Arabidopsis thaliana: one gene and its partners. The protein of the gene in region 3 interacts with the protein of the main gene of each other region in a pairwise test. Each region holds a gene or a part of one and is shown on either strand. Other genes may lie near its edges. The genes, in order: AT5G25475, AT3G51470, ATHB13 and AT1G22190.

The links.
Region 1: the proteins of ATHB13 (region 3) and AT5G25475 interact in a two-hybrid assay, tested with the Arabidopsis thaliana proteins (one large-scale study listed by BioGRID).
Region 2: the proteins of ATHB13 (region 3) and AT3G51470 interact in a two-hybrid assay, tested with the Arabidopsis thaliana proteins (one large-scale study listed by BioGRID).
Region 4: the proteins of ATHB13 (region 3) and AT1G22190 interact in a two-hybrid assay, tested with the Arabidopsis thaliana proteins (one large-scale study listed by BioGRID).

The regions. Positions count from the first base shown.
Region 1 is NC_003076.8:8,865,166-8,873,463, forward strand, and holds AT5G25475 (AP2/B3-like transcriptional factor family protein), read right to left. Parts: upstream 4,657-8,298; 5' UTR 4,546-4,656; exon of another isoform or gene 4,353-4,545; 5' UTR 4,328-4,352; coding exon 4,226-4,327; intron 3,916-4,225; coding exon 3,865-3,915; intron 3,766-3,864; coding exon 3,324-3,765; intron 3,227-3,323; coding exon 3,102-3,226; intron 3,010-3,101; coding exon 2,755-3,009; 3' UTR 2,632-2,754; downstream 1-2,631. Other genes in the region: DGR2 (transmembrane protein, putative (Protein of unknown function, DUF642)), read left to right, coding at 1-229; AT5G25470 (AP2/B3-like transcriptional factor family protein), read right to left, coding at 689-946, 1,053-1,174, 1,287-1,647, 1,968-2,069; DNMT2 (DNA methyltransferase-2), read right to left, coding at 4,904-4,976, 5,184-5,248, 5,343-5,408, 5,498-5,917, 6,125-6,247, 6,348-6,466, 6,543-6,636, 6,760-6,870 and 1 more.
Region 2 is NC_003074.8:19,095,273-19,103,126, reverse strand, and holds AT3G51470 (Protein phosphatase 2C family protein), read left to right. Parts: upstream 1-3,851; 5' UTR 3,852-3,882; coding exon 3,883-4,029; exon of another isoform or gene 4,030-4,178; coding exon of another isoform or gene 4,179-4,193; coding exon 4,194-4,370; intron 4,371-4,441; coding exon 4,442-5,203; 3' UTR 5,204-5,405; downstream 5,406-7,854. Other genes in the region: GLR3.6 (glutamate receptor 3.6), read right to left, coding at 14-1,329, 1,613-1,871; RHD4 (Phosphoinositide phosphatase family protein), read right to left, coding at 5,985-6,121, 6,203-6,269, 6,363-6,455, 6,598-6,691, 6,815-6,887, 6,980-7,088, 7,171-7,270, 7,368-7,466 and 2 more.
Region 3 is NC_003070.9:26,255,567-26,263,979, reverse strand, and holds ATHB13 (Homeobox-leucine zipper protein family), read right to left. Parts: upstream 5,193-8,413; 5' UTR 4,815-5,192; coding exon 4,679-4,814; intron 4,598-4,678; coding exon 4,215-4,597; intron 3,881-4,214; coding exon 3,515-3,880; 3' UTR 3,199-3,514; downstream 1-3,198. UniProt on the Arabidopsis thaliana protein: Probable transcription factor that may act in the sucrose-signaling pathway.
Region 4 is NC_003070.9:7,832,073-7,840,108, reverse strand, and holds AT1G22190 (Integrase-type DNA-binding superfamily protein), read right to left. Parts: upstream 4,329-8,036; 5' UTR 3,865-4,328; coding exon 3,079-3,864; 3' UTR 2,698-3,078; downstream 1-2,697. Other genes in the region: AT1G22200 (Endoplasmic reticulum vesicle transporter protein), read left to right, coding at 1-51, 166-246, 396-476, 666-758, 944-1,123, 1,209-1,276, 1,366-1,417, 1,663-1,716 and 3 more.

The DNA of each region.
Region 1 (8,298 bases), on a different chromosome or scaffold from region 3:
AGGATCAATGGTGGTTGAGGCTTTTGCAGGAAAAGATACACTTAAGGTCCCTTACGAGTCGAAAGGCACAGGAGGGTTTAAACGAGCTTCTATTCGATTTGTGGCGGTTTCGACCCGATCAAGAATTATGTTCTACAGCACTTTCTATGCCATGAGGAGCGATGATTTCTCGTCATTGTGTGGGCCTGTGATCGATGATGTCAAGCTTATAAGCGTTCGTAAACCATAGATGAATCACCAATCCTATTACAAGAAAATGCATCGTGTGGTCTTCTTTTATTTTCCTTAAACTGTCTTTGGTGTGTGTTGGATTTTATTGAAACGAGAAGGTGAAAAAAACAGAGTTTTATTTACGAGAGTTAGGGTTTTATATAGGCAGATGGGCCTTTGCTTATATTGTATTTTCTTGTATGAGAAGGCAAAAGAAACGTTGCCTATATCTTATGTATCTAGGCCTTTTAATTTTTATGGAAGAGTTACAAAACTTACAATAAAGTTGTATGCATATTTTACTTCTCACGAGCATATAAGACTGAATCACAATCGAGCATTTCCAATGAAGTAACAGAAGCATAAGAAATTTAGCATTTAAGTTTTGTTAAAGCAACATAAGGGTCACATATAAACATTACAATAGTAAGTTTGGTAAACACGAATGTTAAAGAAAAGAGACTAGAGAGGACTCATCTCATGTTTTATTGATGAAGTGCACTCTAACAGCAGTAACCAGTTCTCCAGAGCGTTCAAGTTCACAAACCATAGAGTCTCCGGTTTTCAGATTGTACTTTCGACATAGGTCCACCCAGCCATTGAAACAAGGGGCACTGCCACCGCCATAGATCTTAGTGGAGCCATTTATTTTATCTCCGGGAAGAAGGTAATGCATGGGGGACAAATGGGGACCAAACTTCAAGCCATACTTCTTAATCACTGTTTTGGGCACATACTAGTTGCACATTGTACATGAGAAATAGAGAGAAAGATAAGTCTTAGATTTAGAGGCAACAAACGTAAACTAGAATCAAAACTGATGAAAACACTGCTCTTATTACCAAAACGTCATTCCCTTTTGTCAGCGTTTTCACAAAGTAAGGGTTTTTGGGGTTTAGAAGGTACAGCTCAGGGTTTTTGATATCAGCACAACCATGTGTCTCTCGCCAATTGTCTGAAAATTCTGCCAAAACAGAAACAAAAAGAAGCAAACTTTGGCATTGAGAGAAAAGAAAAGAGTAGTATTGAGTATGAAGAGCATCAAAACGATTCTTTCATTCTGAATATAGCCATACCAGAAGCAGAAGCAGAGGCAGAGGCAGTGGTTGTCTCCTTGTGAGAATTTTTTGGTGTAGTAGGATGAAATGGTTCAGTTTCAGGTTCAACTTCAGGAGGTGCATCGATGATCTCGTTCCCATCATTCTTAAAGATTTGCACTTCAAGAAACATCTTGTCATCGTGTCTGAAGAACACGTTATCATTTGGGCCTAAATGGTTGTCATCCACAAACTCATCCCAATCTTCTTCTATCATAAACAGATCTTTTTCTTCTCGCTCCAGCCAGAGTTGCCAAGAATTGCCCCAACGAACACTGAACACAACTCTGTGCTCAAAAGCCCCGGGCGTGCTTTTCACAAACTCTTCCGGAAAACTCCTCTTCATAAAGACAGAAATCATAACAGTTGACAACAACAAACGATACTGACATTAGAAGAAGGAAACATGAGACTAAAAGCTAAAATACAATCAGCAGAACACGAGCTTGTCAAGCAGAACAAGAAGCAGGAATCATTGTGCCATTAAAATCTCCTCAAATGTTTCTTGAAAGATCAAAAGCTTTTTCGAACAAGAACAACAAACGAACAATAGATCTTTAGAGCAAACAAAGAAGTTCAATGGAAATAACAGTGAGTACAAAATCAAAGGAGCTACATTTTCGAAAGATTAGAAAAGAAGAGAGACTAATTTTGTTTTACCATGGATTTAGATTTCCAGTTTTGTCCTGGAGACAGAGACTTCCAAAAGCAAGGCTTGCTCACATTTCCTTGTATCTTATCAGTAGCATTCCTAGGCAACATCTTGTTCTCTTCAAAAGCTGGATGGATTCGGCAAAATTAGGGTTCATAAACAAAGACGAAGATGACTTGCATGTAATGAAATCAGTGAAACAGTAAAACTGGATAAAAATTAAACCTTTAATGCGTTATCTCGCTTTTCTTACTTTCAGTAGCTAAACCCGAAAGTGTTACAAAGCAGAGAACACGAAAATGGTGACTAATGAGAGACACAGAGAAAAACGAAGAAAGAAGCAAAATTTGTACGGTCAAAGGGGAAAAAAACTTAGGTCAGAAGTCAGAACAAAGTAAATGCGTAAAAGGCAAGTAATTGCGTCAAAAGTAACGTCGCCGGAGCATGAAATTCACGCACCGTCGCAGTCGAAGAAGCTTCCTCTCGCTGCTGTGTCTGCTCTTCTCAGCCCTTGTTCTCCAAATCGAATCTCTCTGCTTTCAGAAAGAGAGGAGACTCAACAGTCAACAGCACTGTGACAAGTGTCAAATGTGTACTGTGTATGGAAATAATAAAATGGTCAAACAATATTATTGGGCCGGATATGGCCCATATTAGAAACTGGCCCATCATACTCTAGAATCGATTCGATTGCAAGTGAATTGACAAGTTTGTTAAACTAACACATAATTGACACATTTAGCATTGTTACAGAAAGTTGTAAATAACATATTGTTGTTACTAGAGAGGATTGGTCTAGTCTTTCTTGACGAAATGCACTCTTACAGCGGTAACCACACCACCGGAGCGTTCAAGTTCACAAACCACGGAGTCTCCGATATTCAGATTGTGCCTCCGACATAGAACCGACCAGCCACTGAAACAAGGTTTCCCGTTATAGATTCTATTCTCGCCTTCCTCTTTTTTCTCCCCGGGAAGAAGATAGGTAATGGTGGACTTAACGGGACCAAACTTCAAGCGATAGCTCTGAACCACCGGTCGGCTCACATACTTGCACATACAGCAGGAAACAAAGACAAGCTTTAGCTTTCTAGGCCACAAATGGAATAAAAAGCTGACAATGTAAACACTTGTATTATTACCAGAACGTCGTTCCTTTTTGTCACCGCTTGCACAAAGTAAGGGTTTTCAGGATTCAAGAGGTATCGCTCAGGGTTTTTGACATCACTAGAACGTTGTTTTCCTCGGCCATTTGTCCCTCCATTTGCTGAGAATTCCACCAAAACAGAATCCAATCAAACATTGGCATAGAGAACAAATGATAGTTTGGAGTTTGATGATTCTATCGATCTGAATAGCCTTACCAGAGCAGCCAGAGCCAGAGGCAAAGGAAGAGGCAGGGGTTGTCTCCTTGTGAGGTTTCTTGGGCGTAGGATGAAATGGTTCAGTTTCGGGTTCAACTCCAAGAGGTACATCAATGATCTCAACCCCATTATTCTTAAAGATTTGCACTTCAAGATTCATCGTCTCATCGTGTTTGATGAACAGATTATCATTTGGACCTAAATGATTGTCGTCTACAAACTCATTCCAATCTTCTTCTATCATAAACAGCTCGTTCTTCTCTCGCTCCAGCCAGAGTTGCCAGGAGTTTTCCCAACGAACACTAAACACCACTCTGTGCTCAAAAGCACCACGCGTTCTTCTCACAAAGTCTTCCGGAATTATCCTCTTAATAAACCCAGAAATCAACAAAACAATACTTACATTCAAAAGAGGAAACATGAGACTAAAAGTTATAACTTTCTACAGAAAAAACACAAGCAGCAAAAACACGAGCTTAAAAGATTGGATTGTAGGTCAAGAAATGCAGAGAAAAGGACTAGAACCAACACTAGCATAAACATGAGCTAAGGGCAAACGAAACCTGCGACGTAAAAGTACCCATAACGGTAGCTAAAACAGGTCAATAAGTAACAAAATGAAGACCAAGCAGCAAGAAGCAGAGGAGGCATTGTGCCATTAGAATGTCTCCAAAGTTTCTTAAAAGAAGAAAAGATCTGAACTTTTTCAAACAACAACAAACGGGTAGTTCTGTAATAACTTGTCTATAAAAGGGCTAAACTAAACATGAAAGGATTATCACATCTTACTGTTCTAGCAACAACATCCAAAGCTATAAACTTGTAACAAAGCAAATTCAATAGAAAGAGTCTAAGAACAGTGAGTAAATATCAAAGGAGGAGTGAGTCATAATTGAAGTTACCATGGATTTAGATTTCCAAGTTTGTCCTGGAGAGAGAGACTTCCAGAAGCAAGGCTTGCTCACATTTGCTTGGATCTTCTCAATAGCATTCTTAGGCAACATTTTTCTTTTCAAAGCTGGATCAGTTCTGCAAAATTAGGGTTTGTATGATGACCTACTTGCATTTGTTCATAAAATTAGAGCCAAAAAATTGGAAAAGTAAAAAAAGAACAAACACTTTGTACGTACAAGGAGGAACAAAATATCTCTGGTCGGAAAAAATGAAGAAAAGTGGCGAAGAAGCAAGTAATAACGTAAAAGTAACGTCCCTAACGACAAACCTTAGGTAGTACCGCCGGAGCGTGAACTTCACGCTCCGTCGCAGTTGAAGAAAACTTCCTCTCGCTGCGGCTGCTCAAATAATTTAAAGTGACTGAGAGAGAGAGAGAGACAGTCAAAAGACTCATGTCTCATGCCAATATTATGGTCACTTTTTACGGAAATTTGGGTAAGAAATTATGATTAACGGGCCGAATAAGGCCCATTTAAAATACTGGCCCATAAAGTTAAGGATCGATAACAAAACGTAAGTTCATCAGTTTGAACTTTATCAGTAAACAAAAAAGTAGTAGAAGCTTGTTCAGGAGAATAACTGATTCCGGTAATTGGTCGCGTCACTTAGTGCATCAAATTGTGTAGTCAAGAATCGAATAGATACCGAAGCAGAGGAGCCACCACTGCTACACTTAAACTGTTTCCAAGCATTGCGTATCTGCACAAAGAGGAGTTCATGAGATTCATGTTCTTGTGTTCAACTATTTCCACATTTCAAACAGGAAGTACGGGAGAAATAAGGGTATTATGGGTTAAATTCTATATTCGAATCAAAACGGTGCCTCTGTTATACTTGGATGCACATAATCTATATAGACAGTAGCTTTTTCTGGCTTAGATGGTGTTGACGGTATGAACAGCGTACCTTTGTCGAAGGCTTATGTGCTTGGGGAACTCAAAATCTTCAGGGAATGAGTGAAAGTTAGCTACCTAAACAAATAGAAACCGAACATCATCTTTCAATGAAATAAAGCTGACTTTTTCAGTGAGGCATTAGTAGTAAAAGTAAAGGACAGTGCTTAACCTCTCTAGGGGTGAAGTATCTAAGCCGTTGCTCCTTCAAACAAGATTCCTTACCCTTGATTTTTGGCTGCGTGATCACAGATTCACGATAAGCATTTCTTTTCACTTTGCAAATACAGAGGAAAGTAATATTGTATACTCCATGGAAGAACGTACCTGGACAGTTGCCAATAGGGAACCTGTGCCCTTCACGTATCGATAATAACTCTTTGTGAAACAACAACATCTCTTTGAATCAGGGTAAACAATGTCCATTGCGTTTCCCCATCTCTCTATCAAACTAACTGGTACTAGATACTGATGTACAGAGTCTGGGACAGAATCGCCTTCTTGTCCACAACAATCTTTGGACCCATTTTCAGAGTCATCAACACTACTTGGCTCGCCATCAACATGTGCAGCTAACTCGAGAAACTTCTCTACTGGTTTGCAAAACTCAAGTAATTTATCCAATCCTTCTTCTGCTTGACATTTTCCAAACTCAACCTGATCATCACGCCCATATAACGGGTCTGGAGACCAGAGTAGTTTGTTATTACTGTGTTGGGACTTAAATGGCAGAGGTTTTCTTTTGGCCTACAAAGACACCAGGTAAATCAAATGATTTCAAAGTTAGTGACGTTTTAACTAAAACAAAAAGATTAACGCATATACATGAGAAAGTGCACACTACATGAGAAAGTTTCATAATCAGCATATACTTATACATTCTCAGACTACTAAAATTAACAGTTTTAGGTACACAGATATGCACTACGCAATCATAAGGTAAAGAGAAAGTACCAGGCAGAAATAACGTGGTCTTGAATACGGCACACCAAACTGCAGCGGACTCAATATAAACTCTTGTGTGACATAATCTAATTTTGTTAATGTACCAATCATTTCCATATGTGTATCCGAAGTCTGCACCAACAAACACCACCAATAAGCAAAAATGTCACGACTTCAAAGAAGATGATCGAGAACAAGTACTCTAGCTGGGAAGCATAAGCAAACACTATACCTCAAATCCAACAACATTCTCTACAAATAACATTTGTGGAGGCTTTGTTGTATGCGGTATAAGCTCAAGAATCCTGAGAAACGAAAAAGCCCGAGCATCACCAGAGTGTTTCTGAAGGCCTAACCAAAAAAAAACTGTTAGTATCCAAAAGCAAGTCATGTTGATAGTAAAGAAAACAACAGTGAAATGAATCACCTTGTCTAGTATAAGGTTGACAAGGAGGAGAAAGAAGCCAAGCATCTGCATTATACTTATCTAAATCAGCAGCAGTGAGACTCTGAATATTCCCCTATGAAAAACAACCAAAACAATAAGAACTAATCATGGACTAAGTCACAGAACTAGCATCATCTATGATTTGCAAATGTAACAATGCTTCTATTGATTATATCATATATAAGCATTAAGCAACCTGATAGGGACGATGTTTGAAATTATGTTGATAAACATCATTAGCAGAATCATTGATCTCAAAAGCTTCTACTACTTCTGAGACGATGCCTGACGCCATTAAAGAGTATCTCTAAGAGCAAAAAGGAATTAGGGTTTATGAGACAGAGTAGACTTCACTAAAAACATAGAATTGGAGGTGAAGGAGACTGTTACCATTCCACCGATTCCACTGTAGAACTCGAGAACTTGCCATGGCTTCTTCTCATTGATTCTCTGTAATTCTTGTTCCGCCATGCTTCTTCTTCTGCTGCTGCTTAAGCAAAATTAATTTGGGAGTTTTTGGTTATTGTTCTTATTCGTTTGGGTAAATTAAACCGTTTTTTTATATTGTTCTGTTTAGTAATAGAACCATACCACGCTTGTTCGGTTTATTGTTAGAACCATGTTTTTTGTTTTTTGTCGTTTTTCTTTATTAATTAGCAAGAAAACCCTCAAACTAGCCAATATGTTTCAAAATAACCCTCAACTTACAAAAAATAAAAAACAATCCTTAACCAATTTTTGTTTTTTTTTTCGTTAACCAATTTTAGTTACCACTGTTTTATATATTAAGGTTAAGGATATGTTATTTTGGGGAATTACATGGCATATCAAACACTTTGCTTTTTAGTATGTGTGAAAGTATGTTGTGGGTTTTTTATGTCTAATCTTTCATTTCATGGGGATATAAAATTAGCTAACAATCAACAAATTAACAAACAAACAAAAAAGACTCTAGCTAACATTGATCTAGGCTGAATCTTTGGACCTTCTAGTGTTCTTCATGTTCATACTATATGAACTTTGATTCCACGTAGGTTTGTTTGGATGGTTTTAGTGAGATTGAAAAGGATTGATAGAAATATTTTATAAGTAATTCATAGTTAGAGTGAGGTACAAAGTTGATTTACAATAAAATTGAGAAAGACCCAAACTACAATCTAGAAATTTAGGAATTGATTTTTTTATTTCGATACGCGAACACGGAACCTACAAACACTATCTATTTGATCTCCATTCATATGCGAGGAATTAATTACTCTTGCATTATTGATCATATGTAAGTAGATAAATTAACTTTCTAAAAACATTTCGGTCGCCATCGTATTAGTTGAGATTTTTGATTACTACTTATGTAAGTGCGGATGAGGTAATAATAAAGTGCAGAAAGTAAAGAGATAAGAAATTTGTTAACGAGGTTCGGTTTTTCCTACTCCCCGGGACCACGTCCAGATTTCGATTTCACTAGAACAAGAAAGCAAATTACAATGAATTCGCAAACGCGTAAAACAAGCACACCCCTCTTGATTTACCGCTCCCTTCTATAAACGTGAAACCTTAAGGATAATCTCTACCCTTAACTAAACTCCCCTGAGTCTAGATTTAATCAGGATAACCTAACCCTGAGTTAAACTCCTTCTGAGCCTAGACTTCAATTCTCCAAGTCTCTGGAATAACCTTCACGCACCAACAAACAAGCTTGATCACACAAGCACCAAACCCGCGAAACTATGTCGCA
Region 2 (7,854 bases), on a different chromosome or scaffold from region 3:
CTTATGTACTCACCCCAGTCGTTATCAAGCGCACAAGCTCAGAGTTACTTGGGTTGTCATGACCATTCCCAAAAGCTACAAGCTCAAATGGGACTGCGTAAGGTAATAAGTTAATAGCGGCAATGAAGACATCCACACAGAAGCCAGTGATCATCCCATTGCTTTTAACTGAGACTACCTCTTCGAACCTGTAACGATTTGGAACTCCAATCCTCAAATGCCTTCCATTGTTCGAGAACACCCAGCCACGTGGTATTTTTATTGAATGTCCTGGCCAGACAACACTATGAAGCTTCTGTCCCGAAAAAGATGTGTTCTCCATCTCGTCAGCCGGCATCACAGACAAGCCTGAATGATTAAACCAGTAACCAATAGTCGTGTAACCAGTGCCAATGACATTAAGCACATCAAATGCTGGATTTACAAGGTTTCTGTCACTAGTAAACTTCATCCTACCGGTTAAGCCAATTCTATCAACCTGTAAGATGCTCTCAAGAAATATCTTTCCTCCATCAAAGACTTTCAGAGCATCAAGGTGCAAGTTTCCACCCCCAAGCTCAGATATAATCGGATTCTTCGAAAAGGAAACGTTTCCACCTTTTTTGAAGAAATCATCAATCGCCTGAGCAAGCAGCCAGACAGTGTCATAAGCATACAGTGCATAAGTGCTAAGTCCAACATGAGTTAAGTTATGCCACCTTTGAACGAAGTTCTGCTTCATGATAGAGTTGGGAGTGTGCAGGCGCAGTGTAATGACCCCTTGAATGTTATTTATGGTGTCCAATGGGAGAGGAGAGTCTGTGTCTATAATTGTAGAAAGCCAGTTGGTAGCAATCCACACATAACCAGTGCTCATCATACCAAGATTCCGAGCCACATTGAACAACTCTAGGCCCCAGATGAAAGAAGCGTGAACGACGATAATCCTTGACTCACTCAAAGCTACCTTAATCAGCAAATCGGTGATATTCTCTCTGGTAGGTGCGGGGGGCAAAGCTGCTTTGTATGAGATTCTGCAGCGCTTCTCTGATAACCTGTCTCCCAAGGCAGCTACCCCATTTCGGCCATAATCATCATCGCCGTATATTGCTACCACCTCTCTCCAACCATAGAATTGAACAATATCTGCTATGGCGGCCATCTGAAAGAGATCATTTTGTGAAGTTCTGATGAAGAAAGGGAACTGCAGAGGAGACATAGTAGGGTCTGTGGCAGAGAAGGATAGTATAGGAATTTTTAGTTCTGTTGCAACATGAGCTACTACACGGGCGGTCGTAGATCTCTGAGGGCCAATTATGGCCACTGTCTCAGATTCCATGAACTGCAGAGCTTTTAATATGATACATAAAACAATCAGTCAGTTAACCGGATACCAGAATATGGACATGAGTATACTTGCATGTTGCAGTATCATAACCTAAAGTAGATAGCAGAACAATCCAAGACATGAAAATGAATCAGCGAGCATAAAAAGTTGATTCAAAGGTAAAGAAGACCAGAGGAGTAGAGACCTTTCGAATAATCCGTGAGCAAAACATAAAAAGGAAATGATTGAACCTCGACAGACAAACACATAATAATCATCCAATAATCACAGAGTTGTCTCACTTACGTTCCATGATGCTCATGAATCCATTGTATTTGGTGTCATGCATGATGATCCTAAGTGTAGTGGTGTTAAGAATGCTGGGGCTAGCATTGACGTCTTCAACAGCAGCATCCATAGCAACTTTGATGACTTTACCAATGAGAGAATTAAATGTGAAAACCGAACCGATGTTCACAACTTGGGGTCTCGCAGAGACAATTTTGGTGAGTCCTTGTAAAGGAACAGCATTGCAGATGATGAGCATAAGCAGAAACCACTTCATCTTCTCAATTTCAGGAGATTCCTGTTTCACAAAGTAAAAAAGAGAGGAAGGTCAAGTCACTGAATTTAGCCACCATTACGAGCAGATATAGAATGTTTGAGGGAAGAAAGATGCTTGACCTGTCACTTTCTCTCACTAAGCATGAGGCAATGGTGGAGGAAGTAATTGAGTGCCCATTATAGTAGGTGTAAAGTGGAGATCTTCTTTATGTAATGGTACTCACAGATTCAACTCTCACTCACTCAAATCCTTCATATTTCCCCCAACCCACTTCTAATCTCATATGATTACTTCCACATCACAGTGAGAAGCTCCTTCAAATACTAAACATACCACTCAGATGAAAAATCTCAGCTTTCACGCAATCAAGTTAGTGCGCAAAAAGAAACTCTCAAGTGAACACCTTTTTTGGCTTTCTATACCCTAAAAAGTGATAATTGGCTAAATGTAGAAAGAAAGAAACCCAGATTCACAAAATCAAAGCTTTTCCATAGAGACCGAGATAAAAAAAAGTGTATACCTTAAGGGTTTTGGAAATTGATTCAAAGGTTGATCAAAAAGCCAGACACAACCTTCATATTTCGTTCAAGCTTTTGTCTACTGTATAATATGTACAAGCGTGAGGACTGAGGAAGATGAAAGTGACAAAAAGAAGAAGAGAAACTAATAAAATATTAAACTTTAAATATTCATTAATCGAAATGATTTACTATTTTACAAACAGAGTTTTGATCAACAAAGAGGTATACTTATTATTGAGTTATGCTAACAGAGGGATCATCAAAACAAGTTCTAAAAGAGTGCTTATGTACTCACCCCAGTCCTTATCAAGCGCACTAGCTCAGAGTTGCTTGGATTGTCATGACCACTCCCAAAAGCTAAAAGCTCAAACGGGACTGCATAAGGTAATAAGTTGAGAGCAGCAATGAAAACATCAACACAGAAGCCAGAGATCATCCCGTTGCTTTTGACTGAGACAACCTCTTCGGAACGATTTGGAACTCCACTCCTCAAATGCCTTCCATTGTTCAAATTCTGTCATGGCCAGACAACACTATGAAGCTTCTGTCCCGAAAAGGATGTGTTCTCCAGCTCGTCAGTCGGCGTCACAGACAAGCCTAAATTATTATACCAGTAACCAATGGTCCTGTAACCAGTGCCAATGACATTAAGCAAATCAAAAGCTGGATTTACAAGGTTCCTGTCTCTAGTAAACTTTATCCTAGCGGTTAAGCCGATTCTGTCAACCTGTAAGATGCTCTCAAAATCATCAATGGCGTAAGCAAGCAGCCATACAGTGTCATAAGCATACAGTCCATAACTCGTTCACAGATTCAACTCTCACTCACTCATATCCTTGTGTCTCAGTGGAACCATCAATTCATATCTCCCCAACTTACTATCAATCTCATATGATTACTTCCACATCAAAATCAGAAGCTCCTTCAAATACCAAAAAGACCACTCAGATGATAGATACTTGAAAAAAAACTCAGCTTTTACACAATCGAGTTAGTGCGCATAAACAAACATCTCAAGTCAACACTTTTTTTGCTATCTAATACCCCTACAAATGCGAGCTTTTGCAATTGTTTAATGGCTAATTGTAGCACTATAGAGACCGAAATTCACAAAAATGTTGTCATTTTCTGTAAAGTAGATAGCAACAAACAAACCAACAAAAATCGGAGCAGAAATGAAAAAATGTACCATTAGGGTTCTCTAAGTAAAATGATACAAAGACTCCGACGACACCACCAAAAAGAAATGGGTTTGCTTGAGAGTAAAACCCAGACACAATCTTCATCTTTCGCTAATGGGAAACTAATAAAAGATTTAATTCTCTTTTATATTCAAACTAAAAAAAAAATATGGAGATTGGAAGCACACGTGGCATCCAGAGAGCTGATTGGTGAGTAAAATAAGGAGGAAGAAGAAGAAAGAAGCTATTTTTATAATTTAAAAGAGATGACTCTGACAAAAAAAGAAAGCTTTTGATCGGAATCTGGAAATGGCACCGGTGACTGAAGTTTCTCCGATGATCAACACATTGGAAGTCGCAGATGACAAAATGACGAATCTCAGTTCCTCTGGGAAACCTCCAAGAAACATCTCTGCAATGCGCCATTGCAACAGCACTGCCTGGTTGACCGATTACGTTGGTTCATCTCTTCTTTGCTTTTTTTTTTTTTTAAATTCAAATGCTTGTGATTGTAATTGCACGGTCACGAACAGATAAGATAATGTAGCTTAGATCGGATCTCGTGACTCAAAAACAATCCAAAGTTTGAAACTTACAATGTGAAAATGATTTGTTTGCAGGAAGGAGATGAGAGATTTGGTGCAAAATCTCCGGAAGGAGTAAATTCAACATTCCAGCCTGTGTTTAGATCTGGAAGTTGGTCTGATAAAGGACCAAAACAATCAATGGAAGATGAATTCATTTGTGTTGATGATCTCACTGAGTATATTGGATCATCCACTGGAGCTTTCTATGGGGTATATAAGATTTGCTTCATCGAATATTTCAAAAAAGTTCTCTTTTTTAAAATGATTGTTTGTTTATGAAGGTGTTTGATGGACACGGAGGTGTTGATGCTGCATCATTCACAAAAAAGAACATTATGAAGCTTGTAATGGAAGACAAACATTTCCCAACCAGCACAAAGAAGGCAACAAGGAGTGCTTTTGTGAAGACTGATCATGCTTTGGCTGATGCTTCTTCTCTTGATAGATCCTCTGGCACTACTGCACTCACTGCTCTCATTTTGGACAAGACTATGTTGATTGCAAACGCTGGTGACTCCAGAGCGGTGCTTGGGAAACGAGGCAGAGCCATTGAGTTATCAAAGGACCACAAACCTAACTGTACTTCCGAGCGGCTACGTATTGAGAAGCTTGGAGGTGTGATCTACGATGGTTACCTTAACGGGCAGCTATCTGTGGCTCGAGCCTTAGGAGATTGGCACATTAAGGGAACTAAAGGTTCACTCTGCCCGCTCAGCTGCGAGCCTGAGCTGGAAGAGATTGTGCTGACGGAAGAGGATGAGTATCTTATAATGGGCTGTGATGGACTCTGGGATGTGATGAGTAGCCAGTGTGCAGTGACGATGGTGAGGAGGGAGCTGATGCAGCATAATGATCCTGAGAGATGCTCTCAAGCTTTGGTTAAGGAGGCTCTTCAACGAAACAGCTGTGACAATCTTACTGTAGTGGTTGTCTGTTTCTCGCCCGAAGCGCCTCCTCGGATTGAGATTCCCAAGTCGCATAAGAGGAGGAGCATCTCTGCAGAGGGATTGGATCTCCTCAAAGGTGTTTTGAACGAGTTGTGAAGGAACTGAGAGCAAGTTGGAAAAAGGTAAGAAGAGTTACTTTATTCTTTTTTTGTTTCCTCTTTTGATAGGAAAGTCAGAGAGATATTCAAGGTTGTGTGCTTTTTTCTCTGGTTTTTCCAAGTTTTGATTGATTCCATTTTTTGTACTGTAGATCTTAACCATATTTAAATGATTAATATTTGGTTTCATAATTTAAAAATGCCTCATTGAACTGCTTCTTGAACTTGTGAGGCCTCTTTTTGGTTTGTTTGAATCCTTACCAAATATCCAAAAAATGATCAAGCAACAATGGAGCACAATCTCTCAGAAACAACCGTAGAAAAGATTTAACAGAGGGTAGATGTGCATCTGCCACAAAATAATGGATCCTAACACTAATATAACGATTGACCATCTAGGGACTGAGCCTGAATAACAAAGATGCGCATAGGTTATGGCTAAACAACCTAGAACATGCACTTCCTTTGTCTGCCATTGGTCTATCATGCCTCATGATGAATTCTACAATGGAATCACTCAACAAGAAGTAGGGATTTAGAAAGCCATTTGTCGGACCGAGTAATCATAGAATGAACATGAAGAAAGATGTGTAACTGTATCGAGTCATTTGATGGCTGTGGGAGTATTAAATCATGAGGGATCCAAACCTGAGACAATTGCCTCTAGATGGTGTCACAAGGTCCAATTTTGATACAATAAAATAAAACAATCGAAGGGAGAAAACTTTTGTCTCCGACTTGAGTTCCATGTCTTTAATTAATTGATCTCACGAAATGAATCAGCCTCTGGGCTTGTGCAGACGAGGTCGGTTACAGAAGATCCTGCCATTGGCCCTCACCAGTGCAGCCATGCCCACGCAAATTCCCGTCCACAACAATGAGAAGAACAAGTGCTTATGCTTATAATCACTCCCAGCTGCTCAGCAAATTTTACACAGTTTCAGATTAAGTTTGAAAGAAAATCTTAACTATCCAGCAAAAGAAATACCATACTTACTTTGTTTTAGAGACATTGTTGCAAACCAGAAACTCATCAGAACCACGAACAATGCCACTGGGAAGTTCTGAGACATGAAATTTACATTGTTATAAGACTAGAATTCTTTGTATGCTAATATAGTGGAAATTAGTTCTAATCTTAATTGATAAATGCTTACGGCTACAGCCTCAAGGCCTCCCTTTTGAGGTACAGGAGCCATGTCTCGGCTCACAGCAACTATGTAGTGCCCTTGCAAGAGATCAATTGCATCCTATTGCACATAGCCATATTAACTTGCGTCAGGACACATTCCAGTTACAGGGGTAAGTGACACCAAAAGTAGTCGCACACAGTTGCAACTGAACATTATTAGATGATACAACTAGAGTTACTGAGAATGAAAATTCACTGACCTGCTTAGTTCCATCAGCAAAGTTATTCAGGTAATAGCGTCTGAGGGAGCTCCAACCATCTTTAAGGACACCATGGGCAGTCCGATGCCCATACCTACAATTGAGCCGGTTAGAGACGCATTAGATTGCAATGTAGAGTAATCTACAAAACACTCCCTTATATTGCTTTATAGCCAGGACTTATTCAGACCCAAGATTAAACATATGGCAAAAGTACCTAACGAAATCTCCTTTAAGTGCAGGAGTACCAGAGTACTGAATGCTGATTTCATCACCATGATTAGCCCATACTGAAAGGCGAAAGCACATAAGCAACATGAATAAATTCGGAATTTTACATCTAAGTTCTACAATAGATTTCCTACAAAGGTAAGAGACTGACATATTTTATAGTGTTCGTCAAAATTCAGATGTGAGCTTATGGTTTCTTCAGCGCCAAAAACTCCAATCCTTTTGAGTTGAACTTCTAACATCTTTCGACCTATCATGCTCTGCATTTGGCAGGAAGTATGCAGCATGGATGAGCAAAGGCCAATATGATATTAGCTGCATCATAGTTTTCTTATGGCTAACCTGGGTAACATTTGTACGGTCTAAGCAATCTATGCAGTTTGATCGGACAACACCAAGCTGCTCCTTCATTTTCTCACCCTTTTCATTCAACAGAAAGTACCTGCGTATTTCAGAGAATGCAAAATGACGTGCCATTTTTTATTTATAATTATTCAGATTTCAAGATTACATAAATAGAAATGTACAAAGAATCATACCCATTCTTTTCGAGAAAACCCTCGATCTGCTCGTACAGAATTGATAAGCGCTCAAAATGAATATGCCCACAAATTTGATGGAAATCAAAGTGCAGGTACCTACAGGATAAGGAACCTCCTTTAATGAGTTGCAAAACAATAAGCAAGTTGTCTAAGAAACACATTAGACGAACAGATTGACTACCTTATATCATCCCCAGTAATGTGTTGCATAACAGTAGCATACTTCTCGCATAAGCGCCCCTCACCGCCTTGCTGATTAGAGAAATTAAGGAATAAAAAGTTGGAGTAGATTTATGCAATGCAATTAATTTAAAGACCAAGGTGAGCTCACAAACATGACCTGTACAACATCTTGAGTCACATAACTACACAAGTATTCATGTCAATTTGAAAGAATTTGTACCTTGTTAACGAGATCAACTGCCAAAACTGATCCATATTTTTTCCTAAGGTCCAAAAAGTGACGCTCAGCTATCCGTTTCTA
Region 3 (8,413 bases):
CATGTTGGCATCTGATACACTGTCACCAAAAAAGATTAGATTAAGGAAATGCACATGATCCCATAAAGATTCTTGTATTAATTAATGCATAATGGCGCATTTAAATCTCTCTCATCATTTTATCGCCAACTTTAAAATATTGTGTCTTCCTCTAGGGTTTCAGATTCTGTCACATGCTTGCTTCTTCTTCCGTATAATTTTTTATAATTTTTAACCGTCATTTACTATCTTCTTCGACTCAATAATCCAGATTGTTATAAAATTATACGCTAACTTGGAATCGTGAAAAGTGGATTTAAAAGTTTGTCGTAGTCAAATTTAAATACCGACAAATCATTATAGTGACTTAAAATGTATTAATAACTATGTGGATGAACGTCATTGTTGAAGTTGATTTCCATTGGACGCTCTGGTTATCGCTGTCAATTGTCATCTGAATTAGCTTAGACTTGTAACCTTGTACGTAACATGTCAGAGATATTTTGCTTCAGTTTGATTCTCGACTATAAGAAAACGTTGTGAACTCCTAAAATATATAACCACTAAAGATGATTGTACGAATAAGTGTCGTGTCGATATAATTACGCTTCTGAGCATAATTGATGGATTTGACCTCTGAATTGTGTCCACACACCATTCATTCATTATAAAGTACTCTAGATTTACAACTTCAATAGAAACTTTGAAATATGAAGATTAAAAGAGATATTTGAAACTGATATATTTATATGGCTAGCTAGTTCCCACTTCAAACATCTACATGGTATGGATATGGAATGTGTGTTAAAGTTCATGGTATGGATTTACGATCGTTTAAACAACTTCTTATAAAAAAAATTAATAAGGATATATTTATAATTTTCTATATGTGATGTTTAAGTATTCAAATCATGAGTGGACCAAGGTAGGGGTAAGATATAAATTATTAAATTTAAAGAACTTATAGCATAACTTGTAAATTTTGGTGTATTGACCCACTATAACCATGTTCGATACTCACATTTCAGTTAATAACTATTTTTTAATTAATACTCTCTCTATTTCAAAATGTAAGAGACATTTTTATTTTGTTTCATATTATAAGATGTTTTGCAAGGTTCTATACAAATTTAAATATATTTTTATTATTTTTAACTATTTATATGCTGTAATATTTTTTATGATTGGTTAGATTTGTTTTTATTAAATACAAATCATATTTTTTTTTTAAAAAAACTATCTAAATATTTGTATTTTTATCTTAAACATCTTATATTTTAAAGTAAAGGGATTAATAGTTATGTTGTATTTAACGAATTTTGGGGTCCGCCACTAATAGATTTTTTTTTGTTTTTTACCGGCACGGATAGAAATCTTATGACATATTCTATCCCAAAAGAAATAATCAGGCAACAAGCTTTTAACTACAAAAGTTCAAAAATATACGTACCCAATAACATTTATAACTAGATAGCAAACGTAAGGAATGTTTTACCACATGTACAATTCTATGATATAGGATTTTATCATACAGACACATGCACACAAGAAGTCATTTCCTAGTTGTACAATTTATAAGTATATTACGTGGAAGTGATAAGAGTGAGCATATAAGTGTAGTTGAAGCATCCAAGTTTACAAAGGGTCCATTAACCAAAAAAGCAAAGCAAACCAAACACGGTTAGCTAAAAAGAAAATTGTACTTTAGGAAAGAAGTGGGTGATTCTAGTGGGTCGCACCAACGCATTTCGTTTGATATGTTTTGTTTTGAATTCTTATAGTCATTTAGAGACTAGAGAGATCGTGTTGAACTAGAGCTACATAGTATCATTTGCAGTATTTTTTTTAGTTAACACCGAGTATCGAGATATTTTCTTATGGACCTTTGGGTTAACACCAATAATTTTCAACATGGGGGTTTGAACATGTTAACTGTTTTGATTTTTCAAATCTAATGAAAGTTAAAATATCCTTTGATTTTAATCTAATTTAGGATTCTATAACTGGCGACACTTCAGTTCTCTGGTTTTAAAAAGTTGGCAATTCACCACTAGTTCTTTAGAAGAAAAAATCAACGGTGTTCTAGCCTACAACCGCTTTTATATATGGCGATCAATTTTTTTGGTTCAACATCGTTGAAGCCAACATTGGCCTTAGTTTCTCCACATCTTTGGGTATTAAGCAACTTTTATTTATAGATTTTGTCGCATTCTTTTGTCGCTAGCATCTTTTAAAATTTTAATTGATTTTTTCTAATGATTGGTTCAATATTTTTTTTAATAAACATAGATTGTAAGTGAGATTTCAAATTTATCACCAAAAGGAAACATCGAATTCTTTAAGAAATTTCCAAAAGTTTAAAAGTGTCGGCCATTTGAATGTGGAAGATGAAAAGGAGTTAAAAAGGAGAAGAGTCGATTAAAAAGGAGAGTGACAACTTTCCAACCCCAAATTGTTTGCTTGCTTTCTTCCAACTCTCTTTGTCCTCTTCCTCTATCTCCCTTGGAATCTGTGTGCGTCTAATGTCTCTTGCTGCTTCTTTTACTCTCATCAAATCTATAATCTCTTCTACTTAAAATCCCATATTATCTTAAAGAAATTGAGGATATCTGATTTCTTAAAATATTTTTGTGTTGATGAACCAAGACTTCTAATGGGACTATGCATTTAATATATGTCATTGATAGATGAGTACTATTTTACACGGTGACACATTATTTTAATGCATGATATGTTACTTGATACCTCATCAATATTTCTGCGCGAGAACGAATGGCATTGTCATCAAACCGGACAACAAAGGTTTTCATCAAACCAAACTCTAATTTGCTGTCTTTTTTAATATAAAAACAAACTATAATTTGCTGATAGTGATGTTAGATTTTTTTTTCTTAAAAAAAAAAAAAAGACACACACGGTGAAATGAATAATGTAACTGTAGAATAAGAGAAGGGTTATGAAATTGATGGTCTGCGGCATCGTCAGATTTAAATATCGTACGTCTTTTGTAAGGTCTCGTGATTACAAATTTCACTCGTTTAGATTTTGTCCCATCATTTTTCTTTGGTCCTTTTAACCCGCTCGACCAAATCATGACATATGCAGAATTTATTTCATGGATTTAAACAAAAATAATGATTTGTTTCATGGAAAATGTCCTTTTCATTTGTGCTATTCCATTTATTTCTTCCCACTTCTGAATATGACGACTACGACCACATGGTGCCAGTACCCACGACTAAACTATATAATATACAATTTATTTTATTTTTCTCCATACAGAAAAATGTTGGGCCATAATGATATTATTTTTTATATAATATAATGGATATTACCCATTTTTTTACATCTCATTTACTCAAAAAGTAAACAAAAAACCTCAGTGGTGTTTGGTTGCAGATTTCAAAGTGAGCTAATGATATAGATTCCAGTTTTTGAAAACATGCATGGGTTCTTCTGATCAAAATTCCAAATACAAAAAAAAAAAATATAAATTTTTTTAAAAACAAAAACAAAAAAAACAGGTAGACCAATTTCAATTGTACTGTTGCTGATCAAGCCATGGCCAAAAACCAGAATGGTCATCCATTGCACAGAACATGTTACTGATACTATTCTCTTCTTTAACCATACTCTGTCCTGAAGATGAGTTTTGAAAGAACTGCATTGTTGTAGTAGTTGTCGTTGCGGTGGCTGGCGACGGTGGGAAGAAGTGTCGACCAACTGTCTGTGGTGGCGGTGGGTGGCCACCGGTTAATGTACTGTCGTTTGATGGCGGCGCAGTTGAGATATCTAGTCTGAGATTATCTGAACTGTTATCACTTCTGTTACTGCAAGATCCTTCAGTTTCTTTGTTTAGATTTATTGATTCTGTTTGTTCTCTGTTTTTTAATCCCATTATCTGCGTAATTAAAGACAAAATTTTAAACATAAACAGAGTTACTGTACAATGTGATAAGCATAAAGAAACTATTGTTTTCAGATCTCTTTCCAGACAAGAGTGAAGAAAAAAAGAGATAATGATGTCTGAAAAGTCATGAATCATGTCCAGTTTTTTAACCCTACCTGAAAGCAACTCCTGATCCAAATAATTATAAACCAGAAATATAATTTTTAACCTTTTTTAAAAAGAAAAAAATCATCCTTTAGATGGAAAATAACTGTAATTATTGATCATTAACCCAAAAAAAAATAACACATATTGATTTTTTTTGTTAATTTATGAGATTAATTACCTCAGCTTGGAGTTTCTGATTATGAGTTTGAAGAAGATCATTTTCAGCTTTAAGTGTATCAAACTGTCGTTTAAGAGTATCATAATCTTTCTCTAGCTGCTTTGTTTTCCAACGAGCTCTTCGATTTTGAAACCAAATCGCGATCTGTCTTGGTTGCAAACCTAAGGCACGAGCTAGCTGCATTTTCCTCTCTGGTTCAAGTTTGTTTCCAAGCTCAAAGTTCTTCTCTAGTGTCTTCACTTGTTCCATGTTCAATCTCCTCTTCTTCTCTCCCATTTGTGACCCATCATCTGAATAATCCTCTTCTCCATTCATATTGTTCCCTGTTTCTAAATCACAACACCCTTCCATTGGAGATCTCTTACCTAGAAACGAAGCAAATCCTGAAACAGAACAGAACAGAGCATTAGAAAGAGATAGAGAGAAAACAGAGGAGATGTGTGTGGAAGTTTATGTATATATACCATGGAGATCTTGAGGTAGAGAGCAAGAAGGAAGAAGAGGAGCAAGAGATGGAGATTGATGAGGATGATCATCTTCGTAAGAGGTTTGGATCATGAAATTTGAAGGGAAAAAAGACATTCCATTATTACAAGACATCTTCTTCTGTTTTGCAACAGAAGTTAGTACTGTTTGCTTGAGATTTTGGTCGTTTCTCTTTAGTTTTTTCTTCTTGCCAATCTTTGTCTTAAAGCCATTATCATGGTCTTATAAATCTGAAGCTCTTTGTGTGAGAGTTTGAAATCAAATGGAAAAAAAGAAGAAGAGGAAAAACAAAAGAGAGAGAGATAGTGAAATGTATCGGCCTAGACTATACCACTTCTGGTATTTAATTTCTTCTTTATTTCGTTTTATATAGAAAGGCTGAGAGAGAGAGAGAGAGGACATATGAGCTGAGAAGAGAAAGAGACGCACTCAATTGATTCTCTCGTTAAAAAAAATAAAAATAACACGATCAAATACAAGCTTAAACTTCATTTACGTTAAGCCAAAGTATATATAATTATTAACTCCAATTTTATCTTCATTTTCGACAATCGTTTATAGATAGATATTTTTTTAACCATTGTTGGCTTCCAAGTAAAAGTGGGATCCAATTTAATTTACCCTGGTATATACTTACTCTTTAGTCTTTAGGATAGTGGATTATTGTGTGGTGCGCTGAGATTCATCTATAAATAAAATTTGCATCAGACCACAACAAAAGACACAGTTTGAACTTTGAATATGATATTGAGGTGTAATATCTACTTTTAGTTGGAGATAGAACAAAAAAAATGGGGTTAAAAAATAAATAAATGTAATTGCAGATTAAAAATCGTAGAATTGACCAAAACATGTAATCTTAGTGTTTTCGTTGTGTTATTACTCATATCAAATTGGCATAATCCTAAATATTGTTGAAAATGAAAAAAGGAAGCAAATTACAAGGGGGTTTAGCTTGCGTACAAAGTGGAAAATGAAGAGATGATAATCAAAATGGTAAGAAGAGAAAGGACTCTTCTTTTTCCCCTTGGGAGAGACATGCAGAGAGGTGTTCTCTCTCACTCATCATACTTGTCCTTTAAATTTTATCTAATAACTTTTTCTTTTATTAGATTTGTCCTTTTTTTTGTAAGTCCAATTCTCATCTTAAATCATAACTATCAAAGTTGTGTCTCTCTCTCTCTTTTTATCATCTAAATTTATTTCTAAAGAACTTAATTTACAATTTATTTTTCGCTAAATCATTTGCATAGGCTGAGAACATATGTAATAAGTAGCTAACTAACGCCTTTCATACTTCTATTGATGTAAATTAATTTCATATATATAATGATGTAGTGATATTGGGGTAGGGACGAAGCTGGATAGTGAATGGGTCCAATGTTGATCCTATTTAATCACGCTAGTACGTATGGACTATATATAGACCCATCAAATAATCGTATTGTGTCTACATGGATTGACCTAGACCTGTGGATCTAGGGATTGTACATAATTTTATTTTATTTTTTGTGGGAAGAAGAGAGAAGTGATATTATTGATTTTCAGATGTTCTATGATGCTAGTTTTGATTATTTTGATGTGAAAAAGGAAGATTGAAATATTTAACAAAAGAAGAAGATAATAGCTGCACTTGTAAACCATAGTATAACTGTGATTTTTTTTTTAGTCGGATATATAGTTACTTTAAATTTGTTCGTTTTCATTCTTCAAATAAAAACGATTGCGGGTGAATTGGAAAGATCAAGGCAGTCAGAATAACATCAGAGTTCATAAGAAAATATATTATTTTAGGTGTCCGTCTTACACCACCCACCTTATCTAATACGGTCTTCATTCAGAACCTTAGTTTAATCTTTTAGTTCAGAATATGGAACGTATATAGTTAATCTTTATAGGTAACTGCTAAAGTCTATCGCTAAAAAGGTGAAAAAGTAGAAATTAAACTAACAAAATATAGTAGTGTAGAATTTCTCTATATGTATTGTTACTTCGTTTTTATTTAGAATTCATCATTTTTGTATGAAATTAAAGTTCAATAAGTCTAAAAAGTATGATCGGTCCAAACATAATTGAAATTTGGTCTGAAATAGAATGGAAAAGCAATCACCATCTCAAAATAGCGTTTAAACGAAAAAATTATATTGAAACTGTAAATAGACTTACAATATATACAAAAGCATGGATTATACGTATGTCCATGATCAACAATCTTGTAACATGTATTTGAAATTCTAGATCATGTCTATGAGAATCATGGTACATCAAATCTGATCTCATCAAACCTATTAGCTTTGACCTAACCTATCAACCGCAAGACAGATACCAAAACGAAACAAGAAATCAATTGACTACTGGTAATGCTATATGTATATATGTAGAGTAATATTGATTGACCAATTACAAAAAAGTTATACAATTAGCAAAATAACAATAATAGGAATAATCAATAAGTATCACAAAAGTAAAATTCTCGCTAAGAGAGAAGGGTTTCTCGTGCTATGTTGGCCGATTGATTGGTATCATATCAAATGGAAGTGATGCAAAAAATTCCAAATGCATTATATTAGAGAGTTACAAATATAAAATCTAATGATGCAATTTCTTAAAACCCTTTTGTTGTTTTCCATTTATTTAAAGTTCATATATATAACAGACCTGTTATATGTTAGATAGCTTATGTACACATGAATGCATATGTGCGTGTGTATATGCATGCATAGACAGACGTATAAAGATGGTGCGTGGGGTACTTAGGTTAAGGAAAAAACCAAACAAAACTACTATTTGATTAACCCCACATAAGAGCTGTTCTATCTTGTCTCTCCCTCCTTTCCTCTTCCATTCCTTTCCATAATCAATCTTTCTTTTTATTTTATTTTATTATTTTCTTAATTTCTCTTCCCAACATCCCTTGTGCCGTATTCATCGATGATGTTTACTCTAACATCATCAACCACATAATTATTAACATTTTAACGTTCATTTTCACTTTCGATTAGACTACTATTCATTACTTTGAGACTACTTATCCGTCTCTAACTGACATTTCACGCATCACATCGTGCCGTTCTGCAATCAAAACTTTTGTATCAAAGTACTTTTACTTATCCATGCATACATATAGCTTCACAAATACCCGAATATTTATTGAATGAGTATGATTTAATTTTTATTTTGTATGGAATGTGAATGACCCAAAAAGTTATTTTTTTTTTTGGTAAGGAAAGAGAAATTAAAGAAGTTATAAACAATCTGGTTTTTAGAAGACGAGTAAAAATTGTTAATTTCAACTAATTATTTTTAGTACTCAAGTATATATTATATTTATTGGCAAAACATAAAAGATGTAAACATCTAGATACATTTTAATCCATTCGAAGAACTTAACAAAAAAAAATTTCATACATTATATTACATTCGGTGTGGTACAGATCGCACGGTCAATCAATCTAAAGATCACTTGCGGTGATTGAGCGACGTTGTATGATTTTATCCATACTTCATATTGTTTACTGTTATGATCCATTCTTCACAAGATTGACTAGACGCGATATATGTGCACTCTTATCATCAAGAAGTGAAATATAGCGTATGATTAGATATGTGAATTTAAAGGCTAGTCTTACAAGTTGCTAGCGAATTTGGAAAACTTGTATAGTCGTTTTTTTTTTTCGGTATGATCACCCAACTTTGACGTATCTATTTCAGAC
Region 4 (8,036 bases), about 18 Mb from region 3:
ATTATTAGTCTTGATTCCATGGATATCAGTGGGGAGAGGCACCTTGATGTGGTATGTCCTGGTGAATTGTTTTGTTCCATTACGTTTGTTTTTTTCTTTTCAAATTGAGATTATGTGTGTGTTTACTTTGTCTGATTTTGGATTCTGTTCGTTTGTATGGTGCAGCGACATGACATTATTAAAAGGAGATTAGACTCTTCTGGCAATGTCATCGAGGCAAAACAAGACGGAATTGGTCATACTAAGGTTGGTTTTTCTATGGTTTTGAAATTTTTCATTTTCATGTGTCATCTCTGATCTCATTGCAAGAAGTTTTAAGAGATTGAAAGTGTTGAAGTTCTGTCTTGTTTGCTTCGTTATGTCTCTAATTACCTAATGTTATTGTTTATCCATAGATTGAAAAACCTTTACAAAAACATGGTGGAAGGTTGGAACACAATGAAACATACTGTGGTTCCTGTTTTGGAGCAGAAGCGGTAAGCTTCCCTAAATTATTCTAAGAATATGCTCTGACAAGCGATATTGGACTTTAAGTTGCAGTAGAGAATATTCAACTGAGTTCTTTAGTGTTGATTCAGTTAATTTACATTTTAGTTTCTTCTATGGTGGTGAAATGTTTTTTATCCTTGTTACATGTTGTGGTTGTCATTGCTTACATGTTACAGTCAGATGATGCTTGTTGTAATTCATGTGAGGAAGTTCGCGAAGCTTACCGAAAGAAAGGTTGGGCCCTCTCGGACCCTGAATCAATCGACCAGGTATACTGACGTTCCTTCACTAACAACAAAATTGGGTTGATCTTGGTACTTAGTTTGAAACAAATAGTGACACCTTGTTTGGCACTAAAATGGATATATCTAAAGAAACCATGGGTATCTGGTCTTTCGTTTCAGCTATCCCCACATCTAGTTGTATGATATTCTTACTCATCATTTCATTTCAGTGTAAAAGAGAAGGCTTTGTGCAAAAGGTAAAAGATGAAGAAGGTGAAGGTTGTAATGTTCACGGTTTCTTGGAAGTTAACAAAGTTGCTGGGAACTTTCATTTCATTCCTGGGCAAAGCTTTCATCAATCCGGTTTTCAATTTCATGATATGTTATTGTTCCAGCAAGGCAACTACAATGTAAGAAAAGTTTTATTTTTGTTTCATTCTCTCTTTATAAGCTCATATTTCAAATGGGTCTTGACTCTATTATATCATTACACAGATTAGCCACAAGGTCAACAGGTTGGCCTTTGGAGACTTTTTCCCCGGTGTAGTGAACCCTCTTGATGGGTAAAAACTCAATTATATAGCCATTACTCGCACCTGTTATCGCTTTTTCAATAATCCTATCTTCTGAAACATTCTCTTGGTTCTCTCAGTGTGCAGTGGAATCAGGGGAAACAGAGTGGCGTCTATCAATACTTCATCAAGGTTTGCTTCATTTGTACATTATATCTATAGACAATGCTCTCACCTGGGACAATAGTTTAGGTACAAAATTTTGAGATTCCTAAAAGGCTCATTATTAGCTCAGGTTACTGATAGAGAAGTACAAAGACATTAATACATTATGCTTGTTGACCAATGCAATAAGAATTTCTTTATCGGTAGCTTTTGCATGCTAGAAAGATTGTTGAGCGTAGGGATAAAGAATGGATTGTGGTGTTGAATTTCAGGTGGTACCAAGCATATACACCGATGTTCACCAGAATACAATACAGTCAAACCAGGTAAATCCCACATCCCCAAATCTCTATATAAAAATCTTTGTCATTTTCTTCTTGTAAAATCTAACCTATGAGTTTTTGTTTTTAACAGTTCTCTGTGACAGAACATTTCCAGAACATGGAAGCAGGTCGCATGCAATCTCCGCCTGGTGTTTTCTTCTACTATGATCTATCGCCAATTAAGGTCTGTTCGTTTTTTCTTTTTCTTTTTCCAAGTCGTGTTCTTAATACCAACGGAGACTATATCTCTAGAAACATTTTAACTTTTGATTGTTGGCTAGGTGATATTTGAGGAGCAACATGTGGAGTTCTTGCACTTCCTAACAAATGTTTGCGCTATAGTAGGAGGTAATCAATATATATATCCCTTCTCCATTCAATTTAAACATACCCTACTGATATGTTTATCATCAAATTCAAAACTAAAATTATACCTTTGATTTGCAGGTATCTTCACGGTATCGGGAATAGTAGATTCGTTCATATACCATGGACAACGAGCAATTAAGAAGAAAATGGAGATTGGTAAATTCAACTGAGTTGTTTGATATTCTCCACACTTTCTTGATCAGCTACTGGAGAATCATCTCTACGGGTTTTACAGTTAGACATTAGGTTTGAATTTGTGACAATGCGATGATTTAAAGAATTTTGTAGTACTGTAAGATATTCCAGGATCTGAACTTTGCCTTTCACTATTCACTATCTCTTCATAGGCAACATACAAAGTGTAAAATGTTGTTATCACCGATTGAAACGAATGTTAATTTTTCCTATTTAATTTGAGCTCATTTGTTTAAAGTGTAGTCTAAATCTGAAGATACCGATCTTGCTTTATGTTATTAAACTAAAGCCTTGTTTTTTTAAGTGTCTACGTTTGTTGATAATCAGAGAAAGTGGTTTCTTAGATTAGCTTAAAGCCATGGATTGAAATACACTAAAGTTGATTCAGGATGCTTCCTCATTTACAGTCTAAGCAACACTTCCAGAATTTAGTTATTACGAGAAGTGAGTTACATGTTTTGTAGATTTAGAAGGAGTTTTTGCAGTTTCATACCAATCAAGTTTTTATAGTTAAGGAATTTAGTTTCTTCTACTTTGATCGTTGTTCTTTTGTGCCAATTTAACTTGAACTAAGAAAATCAAGGAACTACAAAAATTACATAAGAAATCTCACACGGTCGAAGCATGCCAAAAAAAAACAGCTTGGACCGACGCAGAGATTAACACTAATTAACATCAAAGTAGATAAACTTATTTGATATTAACATAACAAACCCCCTTAATAATAATAAAATCTCTGCAATGACCAAAAACTCCATCGCAGAGAGCTCTAAAGTCCCTAAAATACCCCTATGGCAACATCTAATTTACAAGACTCGAACACTGAAGAATCGAATCCCAATCGATCTCGTACGACGGATACTTCTCCAACGCGTTCTCGTTCCACGGCGGCTGAATCTCCTCCTCCGTATCACCAAACGTCAGCTCCGACAACGGCGAAGAAGATCCACCAGATCCATAACTCTCCGTTAACAGCGGCGAAGATCCGGCGCTAGAGTAGTCCTCCTCCGGTAGTTTCACTGCGACGGTTGATGAACGTTTCCGAGAAGAAGACTTCTTCGTTGATCTCACCTGTTTCTGCGTCGTCTCAGCTAAGTTTTGACAAATAGCTTCAAGCTTAGCGTCGACTGATGATTGAAGAGGTTGATACTCGTCGTTATGACGGAGATCAGGGAAATTAAGCCGCGCAAAATCTCCTCGGAGCTTATACGCCGCCTTGTCATAAGCTAAAGCAGCTTCCTCCGCCGTGTCGAATGTTCCGAGCCAAAGTCGAGTTCGATTCCTCGGTAAACGAATCTCAGCCACCCATTTTCCCCAGTGACGTTGTCTCACTCCTCTGTATAGCTTCGTCGGTTTAGCCGCGGAAGTACCGGTTTGTTTCATTGAGACCGGTTTAGGACTAAGATGGTGAGAAAATGAGTGGAGATCCGACCCGTATGAAATTGGAGCGGGTAGAGAGAACGCAAACGCGGATGAATCGTTGGAAGGGCTTTTGATAAAAGGTAAAAGCGCTTCCATTAATTCACCACCGAATGGATCAGATTGTTGAAACGTTTTGTTACTGTAAAAATCCATAGAAGTTGTCATTTCTAATAAAAAGAAATTTTTTTCCCTTGTTCTTGTAAAAAAAGTAAAGAACAGGATTTTTTGTTTTCAAGAAAATCGAAAAAGAGGTTTATAAAATAAAAAACCTCTGTGTAGATTTCTGAGAGGAGGGAATTAAAAAAATACCCTCACAAACGATTAATTCTACAAAGAAAAAAAAACACAAGAAGATCAAAAATAAAAAAAGATTGATCTCTTTAAGAAAATACAAACCAAGAAATCAGTTTTCTTCTATACGAAAGACAGATTACTAACAGAAATGAATCAAAGTAGCGGGAAATAAACAGATCTAAGGGGGATGGATTTGTAAAGAATAAAAGTTAAGGAGAAAACCAGAAAGTATATCAACTTTTTTTTTTGGTTACACTCAAGTTTTTTTTTTTTTTTGTAAGTGAATAACTCTCAGCCTCACCGATACACTTATCTCATTAGCTTGGCTCTTGTTTATATAGGAGGCGTGGCGTGACTTCTTTTTTCCATCCTCCTCATATTTCTCAAATTTATATGTTTAATTAATTTTTTCTTTTGTTATTTTATGTACTATTTCAGATAAGATCATCCATGTTTACGTACTCCAAATAATATATATTCAATTTCAATCAAACATTGTTTGTAAGTTGAGTTTTAACAAGTTTTGTTTTAGAATGGTTAATTTTTACAAGTTAAAATGTTTCTACAAGTTTATTCTATAATCGAAGCGTTTTAATTTTACAATCATAGTTTGATGGAGAATCATTTCATTATATTACATTCACACCGGCTTTATGGGACGTTTCTTCCATAACCATATTAATCTTTTTTCTATTCAAATAGAAGTGAGTGGACGTACACAACTCCATAAATTTTAAAAGATTAGTTAAAAAAATGGTTGTCTACTCATTTAGCTAGACGTCTTTCTAAGCGGTTGAAACTAATGTACACGAGCACTTCGATTCCAGCCAAATTGATAAAATTGAAATCAACATATTTTTACGATTTATTTGGTAGAGGCGTCCAACAATTGGTCCACTAGTCCAGCTAGTAGATTTAGAATTCTTTTGTATATATGCGAAAACAAAACTTCTGAAAATTTTCAATAAAATGGAACTGAGAGAATATTAAGAATGAGATTATCCAAATTAATAGTATATATTGAAGTATATCAAACCGAAAAAGTATAAAAATAATTATTCGGAGGTTCCGAATGTGACACACGTAGACTTCATGATTGTTAAGCAATAATTTTGGCTCGCAATGTAATGATGATATCATGTTAATGAGTGGTTTAGACTTTTATTTAGATAATAAATCATACAAGATTAAAAAAGAAGGGTCTAGAGGGTTAGAATGAATGGCTGAGAACTCCTCAAATGTCAATTCCGTATTATATCATCCATTTAATTAGTTTATTAAACATTTCATCATCTTACGATATCTTATAGAGTTGCATCACTTAATTTATTGCTTCGTGTAATCGTGTACAAATGTCACTACAATCAATACGGCGTCAATTTGCAAGGTTAGACTATGGTGTCATCATTTTATAATGATCAATATTTTGAGGGAAGACGCGCATAAGGAGGTACCACCCATGTGGATGGCTCGTGTCCGTGTTACCAGTTCATCTTTACGATGCTGATTTATCTCGTTTACATGTATTATCATATGCATGTATATTTCGTACTTGCTTGCTTTGGTGAACATTGCATATGTGTAATAACTTGTCTAAGCGTTATTTTTCTTATACTTTGTTATGTATTTTTGATAAAAGTCAACTTTCAGTATTGATATCTACATTTAATGCAAAAACTGAATAAGAAAAAGACCAATTAGCTAGACCATAAATTAACCACTCATATAGCTACAAACCTATAAAACTATGGTTAAACAAATTGTAAAGAAAGAAAAAAAACTCTACGCATGAGAAAAGGGAAAAGCAAGAAAAACTCCAACGCATGATTTCATAACCGTAAGCCGAGCGTGTCCACAGGGGAAATGAAATAGTCAACTACAAAATCATTACTCAAGTCTTAGCTGTATGTAATAACTGACAGCTTTTTGCTGCCTATTTTTCTCCTTTTGAATTTTTCTTTTTATTCAAAATCATATATATATGAAAATTGGCCTACACTCTCCATATAAATGATACATCATCACACAAAAAAATGACATGTGTCATTCTATATTAATTAAATAAAAAAACTAGCAAAACTAATTGAGAAAAAATTAAAAGTCTTTTGTTGTGTTAATCTCACTCTTAAATGAATTTTCTAAAAAACATTCGATAAATAAAAAGTCATAATAATGTACCAAGCACTACTTTCATTTTATTCTACTTATTTTATTAAAAACATTTAATCAATAATCATTAATCTATAATGGCTAAAAATTTACTTGTGTTGTAGTTTAGATGTTTGCTACCTAACCTCATATTAATTTAGTAATTTTAGTTAAATATTTTATTATTATTATATTTTGTGAATTTGATTTATCATATGAACTTCTTTCGGTACATTTTGTGTGTTAAGATAATTTTGTAACATTGATATATAATTTTTTCACGTAATAGTCATCCTAGACATTAGACATACCAAAAAAACAACAACATGTGACTTTATATGATTATATGGTAGGGATAAGAATTAAAATGTTGACTTAAATTACTAGCATATCAGGATGTGATTGTGTACTAGATAACGAGATAATATATGGAATAAAGAATTGTTTGTTACAATTAAGTTAGACAAGTTTTAAAATACATAAGTAATATAACTACTTATATCAGTATATCATTTACTGTTATAGTATGTGATCATGATAGTGAAATATTAGAATAATAAATATATAAATATTCATATTGTAGTTGAATTGATATTTTGAGTTATAGATGAATCTAATCATAAAAAATAATAATTATATTAAATGGATGAATTTATCAAAATGAACATCTTTTTTTTTTGTCAAACAATCAAAATGAACATCAAAATCAACAAAAAACCATAATCATATTTTTCCGACAATTTTAAAAACAAAAATCGATGCGTAGCATGGGTGTTCATCTAGTTTATTTAAACAATAATACTTTATTAGTGTACTCTCAAGTTCTCTGACATTTTTTTTTTATTGGGGGCAAATGAAATGACTGACATTTTTGCATTGTTGTTCCTTAACTTGTCTATAAAAGTAGTTGTTTGATAGCTAGATTCACTGCATCTAAATCAAGTAATATAATAGTACATACATGTCATTTTTAGGATTTTTGAGAAATATTTGTAAATCGTAAAGAAAAAAGGTAGATCCGATTTGTGACTAATTTGGTCGAAAAGAAAAGAAAAGAAAAGAAGGTGGATCTGATTGGATTTTTGCTTTTGGTATGAACTTTTGCAATTTAATGCTCATAACGCGGTTTCCGTCAAACGCGTCCGTTTTATCTGTCGAAGTCAAACAACCGTTGCGAATCTGCCACGTGTTCACCCTCAAAGGTCCATTTTGTACTGTTTATCTGACTAGCTCACCTTAAAAGGCTTATTAAACTCCACGTGTCTTTTTGACCTCTTGACTTTGAATGATCTTACTAGTTTACAATTGTATTTTCTCACCTAATTTAATTAACACTAATACGTAAAATGAGAAATATACTCACCTAATTTTAATTTATATTAATGCATAAGATGAGAAATATAGTAGTAGTAGAACAAGTTGGTAAAATACAAATGCATGTGAAAATGCGTGTATTGGGTGAAGTGAAAGTAGAGAAAAATAGATTTGCTAATTTATTTTTCCTTTGGTGATATCGAAAGGAGGGTGTCGTTGTTTTTCGATCAGTTGCACGTTGTTCTACGAGGGAAAGAGGAATTGCATGTGGATTTTAGGTGAATTGTCTCCGTTAATTTTTGCATGACATATGGCCATTGCAGACTATTTATTATACAAAGCTTATGTGATTATGTCGTATGTTTTTGTACAAGATGGTAAGAAAAAAAGCTTCTCAAGGATGTATTTTGTTCTCATTAATGGACTTTTTACGTTGTATTACAAAAAAAACACCAATAAACAGAAACGATAAATCATACTCCATAGTATAGGACTCCTTCCGTAAACGTGCTTAAAATATACAAATTGTTATTTTCGTATTATTAAATATATTTTCTAAATTCGAAAATTTGAGAAAAAAA